2 linked regions of the Oreochromis niloticus genome follow. The protein of the gene in region 1 purifies or fractionates together with the protein of each later gene. This does not show direct contact. Links are inferred from orthologs where the notes say so. Each region holds a gene or a part of one and is shown in the gene's direction. Other genes may lie near its edges.

Region 1 (7,084 bases):
TTGCCGAGGAGATTGGACGCAGACAGCTGGAGCGGATCAGGAAAGAGCAGCAGGCGGCGAGGATGCGTCTCACGATGATGGAGAAACGCTTCCATGAGCTAGAAGGCATCATCGCCAACGCCAAACTTCAGCAAGTCCAGCAGCACGAGGAGGTATGTGGCAACCGCAGCCACCCAGTGCACTCCGCTGTTAGTGTGATCAGCTGTTAGTTGGTCTCATCTGCGTCTCTGTTTGTCTCTGCAGGTGACTGAGGGTGACGGTGACGACACAGACTTTCAGATCTTCTGTGTTTCCTGCAGTCACCCCGTCAATCCAAAGGTGGCTCTGCGTCATATGGAGCGATGCTACGCTAAGGTTAGCTTAAAGAAACAGGAAGTGTGTCCACCTGGGGTCTGAACTGGTTATGAATTACAACTGCCTTAATGAGGTGATCAAACAGGAAGGTACTAACAGCAATGTGGCAACAAAGGCCACAATAAGCCAGTGAAATGACCTTTAGCAAATTCACCCAATGCTGCTGTTCAAATCTTCTGTTTAAAAGAGCTACTCTTCTGGAGTTTAATAATAAATGAGGATAATAAGTTCTCCCTAAAAGATTATTGATGTAACCTAGCACCCCTGAGGTCCTCCTGATTTAACAACATTGGTCTGAGTCTGCACATTAAGTCAGAATATTAGCAGGCATATGGTGGTTATGGCACAACAACTAGTTTTACATCCCCTAACATGACAGTCAGCTGTTCTGAGGTAAAATGTGGGTAATGTAGTCATCAACTTGATTTAAAAGGAAGACTGTTTAATCTGATCTTTCTGTTTCTTTGTCCGACAGTATGAGAGTCAAACATCGTTTGGTTCCATGTATCCAACACGCATAGAGGGGTAAGACCGTGCATCTGTCCGTCCCTCCTGTCTTTACCCGTCTCTCTGTTTGTGTCTCATCTCTCTCTCTGTGTCTCTCAGAGCCACCAGGTTATTCTGCGATGTCTACAATCCTCAAAGTAAGACGTACTGTAAGCGGCTGCAGGTTTTATGTCCTGAACACTCCAGAGATCCAAAGGTTTGTTTATGTCTACAGAAAACAACTTATGACTCGATCAAGGCTTTAATTCGCTGCTTTTTTCCTCGCTTGCTTAAACTCAATGGAGAACTTTTTATTTTTATTTTAGCAAATGTCTGTCGGGCTCTAAAATATTATGTTGGTGTGCTCTTACAAAACTTATCAGCTGTGGATATTTAAAAAATGTTTCTGTTCACGTTAACTTACTGTCTCAAGTCTTTAAAGGACTTAACATCAGAATTTGGATGATACATAAGTTTTAATGTGGCATGTGGTCCTGAGTCTGGACTCAGAGTCCGGAGAAGGGTACAAAGTCAGGACTAGCTGGTCCTGGACTCTGGTCCTGACTTTGGGCTCAGAGACTCAGAGTCAGGCAGTCAGGCCTGACTGTTTCCAGACTCTGGAGTCTTTGGTCCTGACTCTGGAAACAGTCAGGCAGAGTCTGGATCTGACTCTGGACTAGCTGATCCTGACTGGATCGTTGGTCCTGACTGGACTAGCTGGTCCTAACTCTGGGCTAGGTGGTCCTGACTCTTGTTCTGGCTCTGGACTGGCTGGTTCTGATTCTGAACTGGCTGATCCTGACTCTTGCTCTGAGTGCAGGATCAGCTAGTCCTGACTCTTGTTCTGACTCTGGACTCACCGGTCCTGACTACGCTAGCTGATCCTGACTCTGGACTAGCTGATCCCGAGTCTGGTCCTGGCTCTGGACTCAAAGTCAGGCAGACATTTTCCTGACTCTTTGTTATTGACTCCCTGTTGCAGGTCCCAGCAGACGAGGTGTGCGGATGTCCTCTGGTCAAAGACGTGTTTGAGCCCACCGGCGAGTTCTGTCGGGTGTCTAAGAGGAAGTGCAACAAGCATTACTGCTGGGAGAAACTTCGCCGCGCCGAAGTCGACCTGGAGAGAGTCCGAGTGGTATCTCTATTCATACAAACTTTATTTAGTGCCTCGTCATTAACATTAAGACACACCTGGATGTTTCTAACTCTCTCTTTGTCTCTGTCAGTGGTATAAACTGGACGAGCTGTTCGAGCAGGAGAGGAATCTGAGGACCGCCATGACCAACCGAGCCGGTTTATTGGCTCTGATGTTGCACCAGACCATCCAGCATGACCCAATCACCACCGACCTGCGCTCTGCCAAGGACAGGTAGACAGGTGACGTCAGGCAGACGTTTTCCTGGATGAGTTTAATGCTCGTTTGCAATTTTATTGTGGAAATTTGTGGGAAGGTGAGTCAGAGCAACGTTTCATTCACCAGTGAACAAAAAACAAGAGAGATTTGATTCTGACTCCAGCCTCATTCAAACTCAGACCTCATCTGATTTTAGGAAGTCAAACCGTTTTTATATTTCATATTCACACTACTAATGTAGGAAACCTGAGCTCTTACAATCCATGGATGAACACTCAAATAAACCTTCTGCTTAGGTAACACTGCAATGTCTGCTGGATCTCAGCTTAGCTTTGTGGGCAGTTGTATCCTCACTGTTAGTTTTAATAAGTTGGGGATGACTGGACACACAAATATGATCACATTTGATCCTGAATGAGCCATAATGTCTAAAGAGGTGCTCATGTGTCCTCCTCCTACTGGAAAGCTGCTCTCATTCAGTTTAACCTACAAGTATTACACTACCCACATCCGACCAATCTGAAATGTGACTGTGCTTTGGAAATGTCTTAAGGTTGATGATGAAACACTACATGTTCACTAAAGATGCACACATTTTATAAATCTCGAAGTCATCTTGTTACAAGTCATTCCTCCTTGTTTCTTTTTACAATGTGAGCCTGTTGCAGTTTAAATAAAAATTGTGTAAATATCAGTTTAAACTTTCCCCCATGGGATCATCAAAAAAAAGTAAGCATAGAAGAAAAAAAAATGCTAGCCATAAAAAGATGGATTCTGTGACTTGATTGACTCTTGCTTCAGTCTAAGTGAATAAACAGTCAATGGGGTAAGCATAGGGAAATTACTTTTAAGCACAAAGAGCTGAAGTCAAGTGAAATTAATTAAATAAATAAATAAAATGAAATGTCCTGATAAAGAACTCTTGTTTGTATATTGATGAAAGTCAAACTTTTCTGTGTGACATTAATTTCCCTCTGAGAGGAAACCCTTCATTTCGATCTCAGTGTCTCCTTTTTTATATCTGTTTTTATCCTCAGTGTTATCAGTATGTTGTTATTTGTTAAAAATGTTTCAATAAAGTTTGATATCTCATTATTTGTGCTGATTCTGAGCTTTTCTGTTCTTCGAGTGAATGCCAGTGCTGCACCAATTTACTTTAAACTGCACCACAACAATAAACTGGCTACCCAACATGCTTTTTTTAATAGACCAGTAAAATTTCATACATGCAACATAAAGCAGAGAATTCATGAGAAAGATATGAAATCTAGAATTGATTGTAATTAAATTCAGTTTTATTTTATTTTATGTTATTAGGCAGAAGGAAAAAAAACTATACATCATTGTCATTTTTAGTGTGAATAAACGGCCATAGTATAATATTAGGAAAGACATAGTATTATTATTAAAATTAAACAGCAAAAAGGAAAAAAAAATTGTAAAACAACAGAACAAAAACCCAACCATAATAATACAACCTACATTTTGAAGACGCTATTTGTTTTAAGCACATATGACTCTATAAAGATTAAGAGAAAAGCTCGCGACATCGATCTCTAACGTTTTTTAGTTTTAAATTATTAAAAAAGTCCCGGCGCGCGCCACACCCCTGGCTACGCTGCTCGGTGACGTCAAACGCCTCCGACGGTAGCGGTGTACGGTTGGCGCTCAGCGGCTCGGAAACAAACAGTACACTTCCTGGTCGTCCCGGTTCCGGAGGCTGCAGCGGGTCTTCAGACGGATTTTGACCTGGTTTCAGGGTGTGGATGTTTTCGGCTGACTGTGAGTCCCAGTTTATCCGCTCAGTCTGGGTGTTTCATACTAAGAACAAGCTAGCAGGAGGCTAACAGTCTCTGCTGCTTCACTATTTACACCGAGAGAGGATGACCCCGGTCCCGGTCCTGGCCACGATCATGATCTTAGAAAAAGCATTTATGCATCAACGTGAAACTGAGCTGAAGGTGTGACAGATATATTAAAATATATTAAATAATTAAAATAATTAAATAATAATTAAATAATTCTAAACAAATATGAAAAACAAGAAACATAGTTCAGTTCAACTATATATGCATCCATAACTTACAGTAGTAGTCATTTTTTTAAGGTCAACAATAATAACAGAGAGAAACCAATGAATGAATTGATCAGGACTTGGCGACAGTAGGAAGAAGAAAAGCTACTCTGAAATCAGAAGATACCACTGCGCAGGCTGAAGGGATGAGAAGAGCTTAGAGAGACAAAAACCTGCATAAACAGAAGCAGACTGGTATCTTTTTCAAAGAATGTCTAGGAAGACATTCTTTGAAAATAACACAATCACTCCTGGAGAAGGAGATGATGCTTGAGGAATGGAGAAGAAGTGTACTGGTACAGATTTTCTAGAGCAAGGGTGATGTGCAGAGCTGAGTAACTACAGATAGATAAAGTTGATGAGTGTGAGAATAAAGATATGGGAAAGAGCTGTTGAAGTTAGGTTAAGGAGCAGCAGTATGGATCATGCTGAGAAAGAGCTTGGCAGATGTGATGTTTGCTTTGAGAGTGTTGATAGAGAAGTATAGAGAAAATCAGAAGGAGCTTCACTGTGTCTTCGTGGATCTAGAGAAAGTTTATTACATGGTACCCAGAGAGGAAGTCAGGAGTAGTGGGGAAGCATGTGAGGGTGGCGTGACAGTGATGGGTTCAAGGTGAGAGTGGGATTACATCAGGGATCAGCTCTGAGCCCCTTCTTGTTTGCAATTATGGTGAAAACAGTTTTAAGTAATCAGAAAAGTGGCCGGCTTATAAAGCTGGTCTCCTGAGTTCCCAGATGTTTACAGAGTGTAGTTTAAAAAAAAAAAAAAAAAAAAAAAAGGTGACGAAACTCTTCAGTCTCAAATTCAAAGTGAGCAGAGAGATTTAAGTAAACAAAAAGTCTTCTCAGTTTCAGCATACTTGGTTCTGTGCTATTTGAGGTTAATTAAAGGATTTAATTAGTTTGGATTCTCATTCACACATTACACAGTCGTGACTCCTCTGTAACGAGGCTTGTTGTGGCTCGCAGGTGTGAAGGTTCTTCTTCATGTGTCTTTGTTATTTTTGATTCAGGTCGATCTGCGTGGATCAGTGATGCAGTCGGGGTCAGATCCTCCAGGACATGGACCGAAGCCAGTTAGAAGATCTCCTCGTCTGTCCCCTCAGGTCAGTCATCCGACACAGTGATACACCTGGTTTTAACCTTCACCTCCTTTTAAACCTTTTTGCCGCTCAGCCATAAAAGGCTGACGGGGTGTTGTCATCACCCTGCCAGGTGGACGCACAATGTGGATACTCAAGTTTGTGAATGCGATAACTCGAGAATGAAGGAGCTTCAAATTGATGCCATGTGTATATCTACAAAAAATCTCAGACAAGTTTGAATCTTTGTGACCTCGACCACATAGTCAAGGTCAGAGGTCAAGTTTACTCAAAATCCTATGGACGCGATAACTTGAAAACAAGGTGACATACAGTAGGATTTTGTAATTGATGCCGTAGGTGCATCTACTAGGAGGCTGAGAGGTAGCATTGGTTGCTACCATTATTCATTTTCAATATTAGATTAGTCATTTACTCTGCAGTCACTCTTTGCGGATTCCTAGTTAGCAAAAAGTGATCAACATGCCGTATGCCGCATGTCTGAGAGCGGCCAGCCTGGGTTCAAATCCAACCTGCCCTTTGCAGCACGTCTCCCCCTCTCTTTTTCCCTCTGCTTTCCTGTTAGTCTTCACTGTATCTGCCCAATAAAGCCAGAAAAAGGTAGAAAAATATATATTAAAAAAAAAAAAAAGTAATCTACAACAAAGTAAGCAAACTTTATAGTTTGATCAGTATGGCCTTTAGTATGTAGATCGGGGGTTGTATTAAAAGTGTGAAGGTTTGTTAGTTGCAGCTTTAACTTGACTGGGTTATTTTAGTGACTTAAATGAGTGAGTTTGGATCTATTCATGTCTAACACCTATACTGTTTTCTCTGTCTGTGGCAGATATTATAAAATGTTCTCATGTCAGTGACTGATTTTCAGTCATTTTAATGCAGAAAGGATTTTAAAAAATGTATGAACAAAATTGCATTTATTGAGACAATCCTCATCTGTCACTCCTCATAAAACACATTTTATTTGTTTCAATAATGCTAAAATGAAGAGAAAGAATAATATTGTAACAGTTACAGTCAGTAGATTAGACAGGCGACCCTCCTTTCTCCATACGGAGCTAGAAATGAGTAGTATAGTTCCTCTTTAGGGTTAAAGTGATAAGCTCGATTTAACTCGTTTTTATCAGTGTTACTATTTATAATGTGTTAAAGTTTACAGGTTGGCTTTAGCTGAGTTCGAATTATTGACGAGTAAAAGTGGGCGAGGCAATCATTCATTTATCTGAGGTGAACTTTTATCTCAGATTGTCGTGCCTCTCCTTCGATTCTGCACTCAGTTTCATGTGAACACCTGAGTGTTTGGATCTGTTGTCAGTCTGCTTTCGTAACACCAGACAGAAACAGCCGACCCTTTTATTTTCTTCTTCTTCAGCTTTTCCTCTTTTAGTTATTTGAACTCTTCTTCTTCTGTTTCTTTGCGTCACGTTGGAGCGCTTGTGATTTAACCCTACAGCGTATCAATTTGCTTCAGTCGCAGCAGAGAGGTGGGCTTCAGCTGCTCCTGTTTATGTTTGCAGGTCGGCAGCAGTGAGGGAACACAGGAGAGCAAAGGAGGAAACAGCCTGCAGGAGCTGAAGAGGAGAGGAAGGATGGAGAGGACCAGAGAGGAGCAAGAAGAGGAGCTGAGTGGCAAATTGAAGACACTGGTGAGATTTGCACTCTGTTTAATATTTGAAAAGGTTAGCATGCACCTTGGATCTGCAGTGTTTGGAACAG
Region 2 (7,262 bases), on another chromosome or scaffold:
AATGGGCCAAGTACAGTCTGGACACGCTTCGATTCAGCGGTACAAGCTCCACCTGAAGCTGTAAACTGAAAATAAGCCCGTCTTAGTCATTTCTCTGATAAATGGTTGTTACTCGTAGGTTTTACAGACGTCACTAAGAAGCTGGAGGGCGCCGCAGCCGAGGAGGTCAAGGTCAAAGAGCGCGTGAACCAGCAGATCCACAGGATGTGTCTGCTCAGGGTCAAACTGATGCACTTTGTCAACAGCCTTCACAACTACATCATGACGAGGGTGAGGCAAACCACCAAACTGACCTCCTGCAAACAGGATGTCGCATCCATGACATTCAATTCACTTCATTTTTATTTGCACAGCACCAAATCACAACAGCAGTCACCACAAGGCGCTTTATATTGTAAGGTAGACCCTACAATCAAATATACAGAGAAAAACCCAACAATCATATGACCCCCTATGACCAAGTGCTTTGGTGACAGTGGGAAGGAAAAATTCCCTTTTAACAGGAAGAAACCTCCAGGTGAGCCAGGCTCGGGGAGGGGCGGCCATCTGCCACTACCGGTTGAGTGAGAGAAGGAAGACAGGATAAAACACGTTGTGGAAGAGAGCCAGAGATTAATAACAAGTATGATTCAGTTCAGCGAGGTCTATTAATAGATAGTGAGTGAAGAAGAAGCACCCAGTGCATCATTGGAATCCCCCAGTAGCATACACCTATTGCAGCATAAATAAGGGAGGACATCACTCACATTTACCCCTCGAGCGCTGCTGTCGACATAGTAGTGCCAGCAAACGTTTTTATAATGAACACCATCAGGACGCTGCTCGGTAGGGAAGATCAGCAGCTTGGCACAGCGAGCGCTGATCACGTGACAGTGAGCGGGCAGCCTGATAACTCTTCCTGTCATATTTACTTCTAGGGTTACATAATAAAATCACTTCTTTAAACGACCCCCTTTAATAAAAAGAGTCCTCACTGCACTCTCAGTTTGACTAACTCTGGCTCTTCATCTGCTTTGTGTCTTGGCAGATTCTGCACAGCACTGGACTCGAGTTTCAACACCAAGTGCAGGAAGCCAAGGACTTGGACCAGCTCATCAAGATCCATTACAGATACCTGGCCACGATTCACGACCGTTGCCTGCTAAGGGAGAAGGTGAACATTTATGATGGCGGTCTGACCGCTGACACAATCAGCTGTAAAGACGGTTGCTGTTTGTTTGAGATGATGAAAAAGCGTTCGTTCTTTTACGAACGCAATGACCAGCCTGAGGCGTTTCTCAGTTTTCCTGCTTTAGCACAAAGAAATGTTGCTGCACCATCAGCACCGCTGCTTGTACACTGACCTTACTGTACTGTGTGATGGCGGGCAAGTAAATAAATTGGATCTTATAAGACAGTGATTCTTTATGTTTCCAGAAAAACTTGTAAAACACTGTACTGTGGGCGGGGCCAGAACCTTCAGTAGGCCGAATCTCACTTTGGCTCCCTGCTCAGACTCACCTGTTTCTACATGTTGTGTTTTCTCAGGTCAGTTTTGTGAAGGAGGCGATAATAAAGGTTCTGAATCTCGTCCTCATCTTCTCGGACAGATGGCAGGCTGGAGCCTGGAAGTAAGAGTGATGTGTCTATTCAGTGGTGTTGATGTGACATTCGTGGTGCACGCTGCGTGTGTGTGTGTGTGTGTGTGTGTGTGTGTGTGTGTGTGTGTGTGTGTGTGTGTACACGCATCCAGGTACAGAGACGACACACCTGCTCTGCAGCTAAATGTTGTTTCTCTTTCAGGATAGAGTCCATCGATAAAATGGAGTCTGATTTCAAAAACTGCCACATGTTCCTTGTGACGATCCTCAATAAGGCGGTGTGCCGGGGCTCCTTCCCTCACTGTGAGTCTGTCGTCTGGGTGATGATGTCAAACGCAGTGATTGTGTACGGTGGTCCAAAGGTGCAGAACATCCAACTTGGAAAAGCTTAAATGTAAAATCGGTTGGTGCTTCGAGGCTGTCGGGATCCAGCTGCAGTGCTCGGTGTTTCCTCCAAACAGAGTGTGTCCGCAGTTTAGAGGGGATCGACTTCATAAGTGCACGAGATATCCGCACGACATTTTCAGGCTGAAAATGTCGTTACGAGGGCTCAGGCGTGTGTGGTCGAAGTTTTCCAAGGGCCAATAAAAGCCGACCTTCGGTTGTTGACACCTGCATCATCTCAGACTCAGGAACCACAAGTCTCCTGCAGTCTGATCCTTCTAGGTCAATTTAACAGGAAATGAAAGTAATAAATGAGAAATAGGATGTTTGTGCTGGTCATCCTGTCAGCACACAGGACTGAATGATTGAAAAACCTTTCCAGTAAATGAAATATGTGTTTGGGACCTCTTGGCCACCGTAGCTGTCCAGTTAACCTCGTCTTGTTGTATGCTGTGAGCAGAGAGGAGCTGATGACGTCTGTCTCTCTTGTTGTGCAGTGGAGTCTCTGGCGCTCTCTCTGATGGCGGGATTCGAGCAGTGCTGACGAGCTGGACACGAGCACGCTCTGTGATGATGTCATTGTCTGCTGAGATGGACTCAGACCGGCCTGCTGCTTCTCCGCAAATTTCAAACATGAATGCTTGTATTTTAATATTAATAACGTCTGTGACGAGGCAGAATAAAAATGACTTGACAATACATGGTGACATTTGACTCTGTTATTCACTTTACGTTGTGTAAAGGACCATGACCCGACACACTGGGTTTTTTAATTGATTTTGCACTCATGTACAGCGTCCTGGTTCGGCACACACACAATCGTCAGCTGTCTGCATACTGTCCCACTTCGGTCTCCACCCTCACTATACGAAGGGAGGAACCCCATTAGTTTAATCATGTCCACCTGTCCCTCCAACCTCCCTGCATCACCCATCCCCTGCAGCTGAGCCAAGGACCACACCTCTGCCACACATTGATAATAAATTAATTGTTGACTGCACGTATAAACTGAGGAGTTCTCAGAAGCTGCTGCTGTTGGAGCAGAAGAACGGGGAGGGTTGCCTCAGGAAGAGCGTGTAGTGTAAAATATTTGTCAAATCAAATGCACCATATGACCAAAATAACAGCACACAGCGAGACTGAGGCCTTCAGCAAGGAGGCTCTGCACACAGAGGTTGTTCACAGTAATCCAGCCCCGAACGTCACAAACAGCTGGCATTACTGCACCACTAACAGGAAAACCCACACACAGGTGTCGTAATTCAAGTTTATAGACATAAAGGCACAAAGCGCTGTACAAAGAAATGAAAATGCAACAGCAACACAAAACCATGATGCTACTGCTCAGCCACAAGCCACCTTTATTTTTTAAGGAGAGTGAGGTGCATTCAAAAACTTCCTCCTTTTTCTAACCTCCATGAAAATGTAATTGAGCTGAAAAAAGAGGTGAATATTTTTGTAAGCAGCATATTCCAGTAATGTTAATTGCAGGGCAGCGTATGCATGACACTATGACTGAGGGCTGAGCCCTTCAGGTTTGATTCTACAGTCCCCTGTTTGTAGCTGTAAGGACTTGTGTGCAGCTAACTGCTCAACTGCACATTCTTATGGTTCTAACTGTAGAAACTGATGACCCTGTAGAGATGAAATCTGATTAATGTGATGACACTCTGCATTAGTGATTATGGTGTATGTGTATTTGTACGTGTGTGTGTATGTACATGTCTATACTTATAGATACTTATAGATATCTTTTACTCACATAGTAATAGTAGTAGTAGTAGAATAGTTTTTAATGTATTTCTTGCATATTTCCACAACTTGTATCAATAACATATTCTGGGTATGTGTGTACATAGAACCTCAGCTACCATTGTATATATTGTATTATCTTATTTATTTTGTATTTGTTGACTTTATATTCTGGTATACTCTTTGTATTCTTCTACTATCTGTACCTGAGCTGTGGTAACGCACAAATTTCCCCGCCATGGGATCAATAAAGTCTTATCTTATCTTACCTTATCTGGACAGGTGCACAAACGGCAGCTTGCTGATGTCATGATGCTGACCTGTCTTTAAATAAACAACAAATCATTTTTATTATTAATAATGGATAAAAACCGTGGAACGTCTAAGGCTGTAAAAACCAGGAAAAGTTTAATGAATCAGTTTGTTGTTCATTAGCTCTCCTGATCGTGGCGCCATCACACCTGTGTGACGTCTGCGAGCCCTGCGGGAAGCAGCAGAAGAAGAGAGGCCGGCGCTGCGCGCTGATTGGCTGCAGAGAGGGGCGTGCAGCGGAGCGTAGAGATGGCGGCGGTGACCAGAGGCTCTCTCGGCGCGTTCAGGCGGCTACTGGTGAGCAAATACAGGCTTCGTGTTCTCGTCACAGGCTCTGAAAGCGCTTAATGCTAACCTGCGGCTAATGCTAACGGAGAGTCTCCGCAACGTCACCAAGCTCAGTGCGTTAGCATAGCTAGCCAATGGGCTAGCTGATGCTAACCCTAATGGAATGAAACAGCCTCTGAGTTAGCATGCTTTGGCTAACAGCTAACAGCTGCGAGTGCTTCCTGATGGTCAGCAGCTGTTTCCGGGTCAGGGTCTGAGTCAGAACCAGAACCGGCAGTGTGCGGGTTCTGGTTCTGACCCAGATCTGAGCTCAGTAATATTCAGAGCTTGTCCTGCAGGTGAAACTTGCTTCACCTGCTGCCGCCAGGACAGGTGTTTGTTCCAGACCTCAGGAGCAGATGTGGTTTCAAACGACGGAAACGACGTGATTGACAGGTGGTCCTCCAATGATGTGTATAAATTTTAAAGCGAACTTTCTGTTTTATTTAGTGAGAAGTGACATGGGAGTGAGACAGCTTCGAGATATTCAGAGGAAACCTGCAATAAGAAAAACACCTGAGCAGAGTTTCTGTCAGCGAGTGACAACCTGAAGGCCATTTCCCATCATCCCCCACTTCCTGAAAGTGTCAAAGTCAGGCTTAGCGTAATCTTCAGTGACTTGGCATAAATCAGTGTAAATGCACTCGGTTTCCTCGTTTACATGCAGATGAGGAAACATAGATCTGGTGCCACAGTGTCAGAGGCGTGTGTGATGTTTTTATTGGCTGGCATTTCTTCTCTGTTAGGGTTACATCACCACCTTGTTTAAAGAATGTCCGTATGCATCTTTATTAGAAGCTGAAGGAGTTGTGAGCTAGTCTTCATGTTTGAGTTTCGGAGTGCTGGTCCTGGTCTGACATTCAGGACCTGAAGGAAGAACCATCAGGCCCTGAATATCAGGGGGCGTGGCTTAGAAGCACCTGTGTGTTGGCTGGTCCAGGTGACCTCTGTTATCTGCTCTTTTCCCGTCAGCTGAGTCAGCAGAGCCGCAGATGTTTCCGGCTGCAGAGCTTCAGATGTGACAGGACTCTGCAGCCAATGACCTTCAGGTGTGACAGGAAGCTCCAGGTGTTCAGCTGCAGAGGGCTGCATGTCGCTGTGGGTAAGTCCAGACCGGCAGCACCTGAATCCTGGCCTCCTCTGATCTCTCTGCTATTGCCATGGAGATCTGTATCATGGTGAACTGTTCTGGGTTTTCAGCTGTTTGATGGACTCTGGGAGAATTGAGGCAGATCACTCATGGTGGTGTACGCTGACCTCCATCAGCAGATTGTTCTGTTTCTCTGTGATCGTGTCACTGTTTTGTTTTGTCCGGCAGTGAATCAAGGACCTATCGTGCAGTTCAAACTGTCTGACATCGGTGAGGGAATCATGGAGGTGACCGTCAAGGAGTGGTACGTGACCAAGACAAAAAAAAAGAAAAAAAAGAGTCCAACAGCTCCGTTTTTTATTGTCATGACAAAATTTTGGTATTATTTTGTTTTTAAAATGAAGCAAACCTGAAACCCCAGAGTTTGTAAAAGAACAAACAGGTGAACATATGAAACGATTAGGATGTAACACCTGTAACCTGTAATGAAGGATGGCCTGTTAACTCGTTACACTCCAGTTTGTTCATGTAAATGGAGAGTCCTCTTCACACACTAAAGTTAAATATGGAGTTCAACAGGGTTCAGTGCTAGGACCAGTTCTGTTTACATTATACATGCTTCCCTTAGGTAGTATCATCAGAAGGCATAGCATCCATTTTCACTGCTATGCAGAGGACACCCAAGTTTATCTATCCATCAGGCCAGATAACACACACCAATTAGTTAAACTGCAGGAATGTCAGGAAGTCCTAAAGCCCTGGATGACCTCTAATTTTCTAAATTCAGATAAAACTGAGGTTATTGTACTTGGGACAGAAAATCTTAGAAATATGGCCTCCAATAACACTTTGAGGAACCTTGGAGTCATTTTTGACTAGGATATGTCCTTGTGCGTATTCTGTTCTTGTGATTTGCCACTGCATAAATAAATCTGGATTCCTCTGGCAGGTACGTGAAGGAAGGAGACAAAGTTTCTCAGTTTGACAGCATCTGTGAGGTTCAGAGCGACAAGGCATCGGTCACCATTACCAGCCGCTACGATGGGGTCATCAAAAAGCTCTACTACGATGCAGATGCCACGGCCTTTGTGGGAAAACCGCTGGTGGATATCGAGACGGAGTCTGGCTCAGGTGAGGCATCAGCAGGTCTTCACTCGTCCACCCGTCCAAGTTCACGGCTGAAAGTCTCACTGCTGTTATCCTTCAGAGGTGATCCAGGAGGAGGACGTGGTGGAGACGCCCGCCATGGCTCGAGAAGAACACACCCACCAGGAGATCAAAGGTCACAAGACGCAGGCCACGCCTGCAGTCAGACGCCTCGCCATGGAGAACAATGTAAGTGTGATTCCTATTTGTCCGCACCGGGTTGTCCCAGTCTGTCCCACTGTGTTCCCAGTTGAGGTGTCGCTTTGTCCTCAGATAAAGCTCAGTGAGGTGGTGGGGACTGGCAGAGATGGGCGGATCCTGAAGGAGGACATCCTGAACTTCCTGGCAAAGCAAACTGGAGCCATCTTGCCTCCGACACCTTTCCAGGAGATCCAGACTCCGCCCCCGGCCCCTGCTGCTGCTCCTGCTGCTGCCAAGCCTGTGAGCACTAAGGTGGCTGTGAAACCTCCACCCGCTACTCCTAAACCTGTCTTCACTGGCAAGGACGTGACGGAGCCCCTCAAAGGTCAGAGATTGCTGTCAAGCCTAAGTGTTGCGCTGTTCACTGCGAGACTTGCATGTCATCTCCTTTCTCTCTAAACATTCTGATTGGCTCTTCAGGTTTCCAGAAAGCGATGGTGAAGACGATGACTGTGGCGCTGAAGATTCCT

The links. The genes of interacting proteins can lie anywhere in the genome.
Region 2: the proteins of hdac6 (region 1) and dbt purify together in Homo sapiens (affinity purification with mass spectrometry; 3 studies listed by BioGRID and IntAct, with this or other methods). This does not show direct contact. The link is inferred for Oreochromis niloticus from reciprocal best matches to the Homo sapiens genes HDAC6 and DBT.

Annotation. Positions count from the first base shown.
Region 1 is NC_031984.2:4,905,975-4,913,058, reverse strand, and holds the start of hdac6 (histone deacetylase 6), read left to right. Parts: upstream 1-4,023; 5' UTR 4,024-4,077; coding exon 4,078-4,155; intron 4,156-5,281; coding exon 5,282-5,374; intron 5,375-6,885; coding exon 6,886-7,014; intron 7,015-7,084. Other genes in the region: cxxc1a (CXXC-type zinc finger protein 1a), read left to right, coding at 1-152, 244-354, 830-879, 961-1,057, 1,823-1,975, 2,067-2,213.
Region 2 is NC_031986.2:35,936,759-35,944,020, forward strand, and holds the start of dbt (lipoamide acyltransferase component of branched-chain alpha-keto acid dehydrogenase complex, mitochondrial), read left to right. Parts: upstream 1-4,186; 5' UTR 4,187-4,277; coding exon 4,278-4,325; intron 4,326-5,327; coding exon 5,328-5,457; intron 5,458-5,673; coding exon 5,674-5,749; intron 5,750-6,394; coding exon 6,395-6,576; intron 6,577-6,652; coding exon 6,653-6,780; intron 6,781-6,864; coding exon 6,865-7,117; intron 7,118-7,212; coding exon 7,213-7,262. Other genes in the region: tubgcp5 (gamma-tubulin complex component 5), read left to right, coding at 1-39, 119-270, 1,028-1,153, 1,528-1,610, 1,783-1,883, 2,462-2,508. UniProt on the Homo sapiens protein: The branched-chain alpha-keto dehydrogenase complex catalyzes the overall conversion of alpha-keto acids to acyl-CoA and CO(2).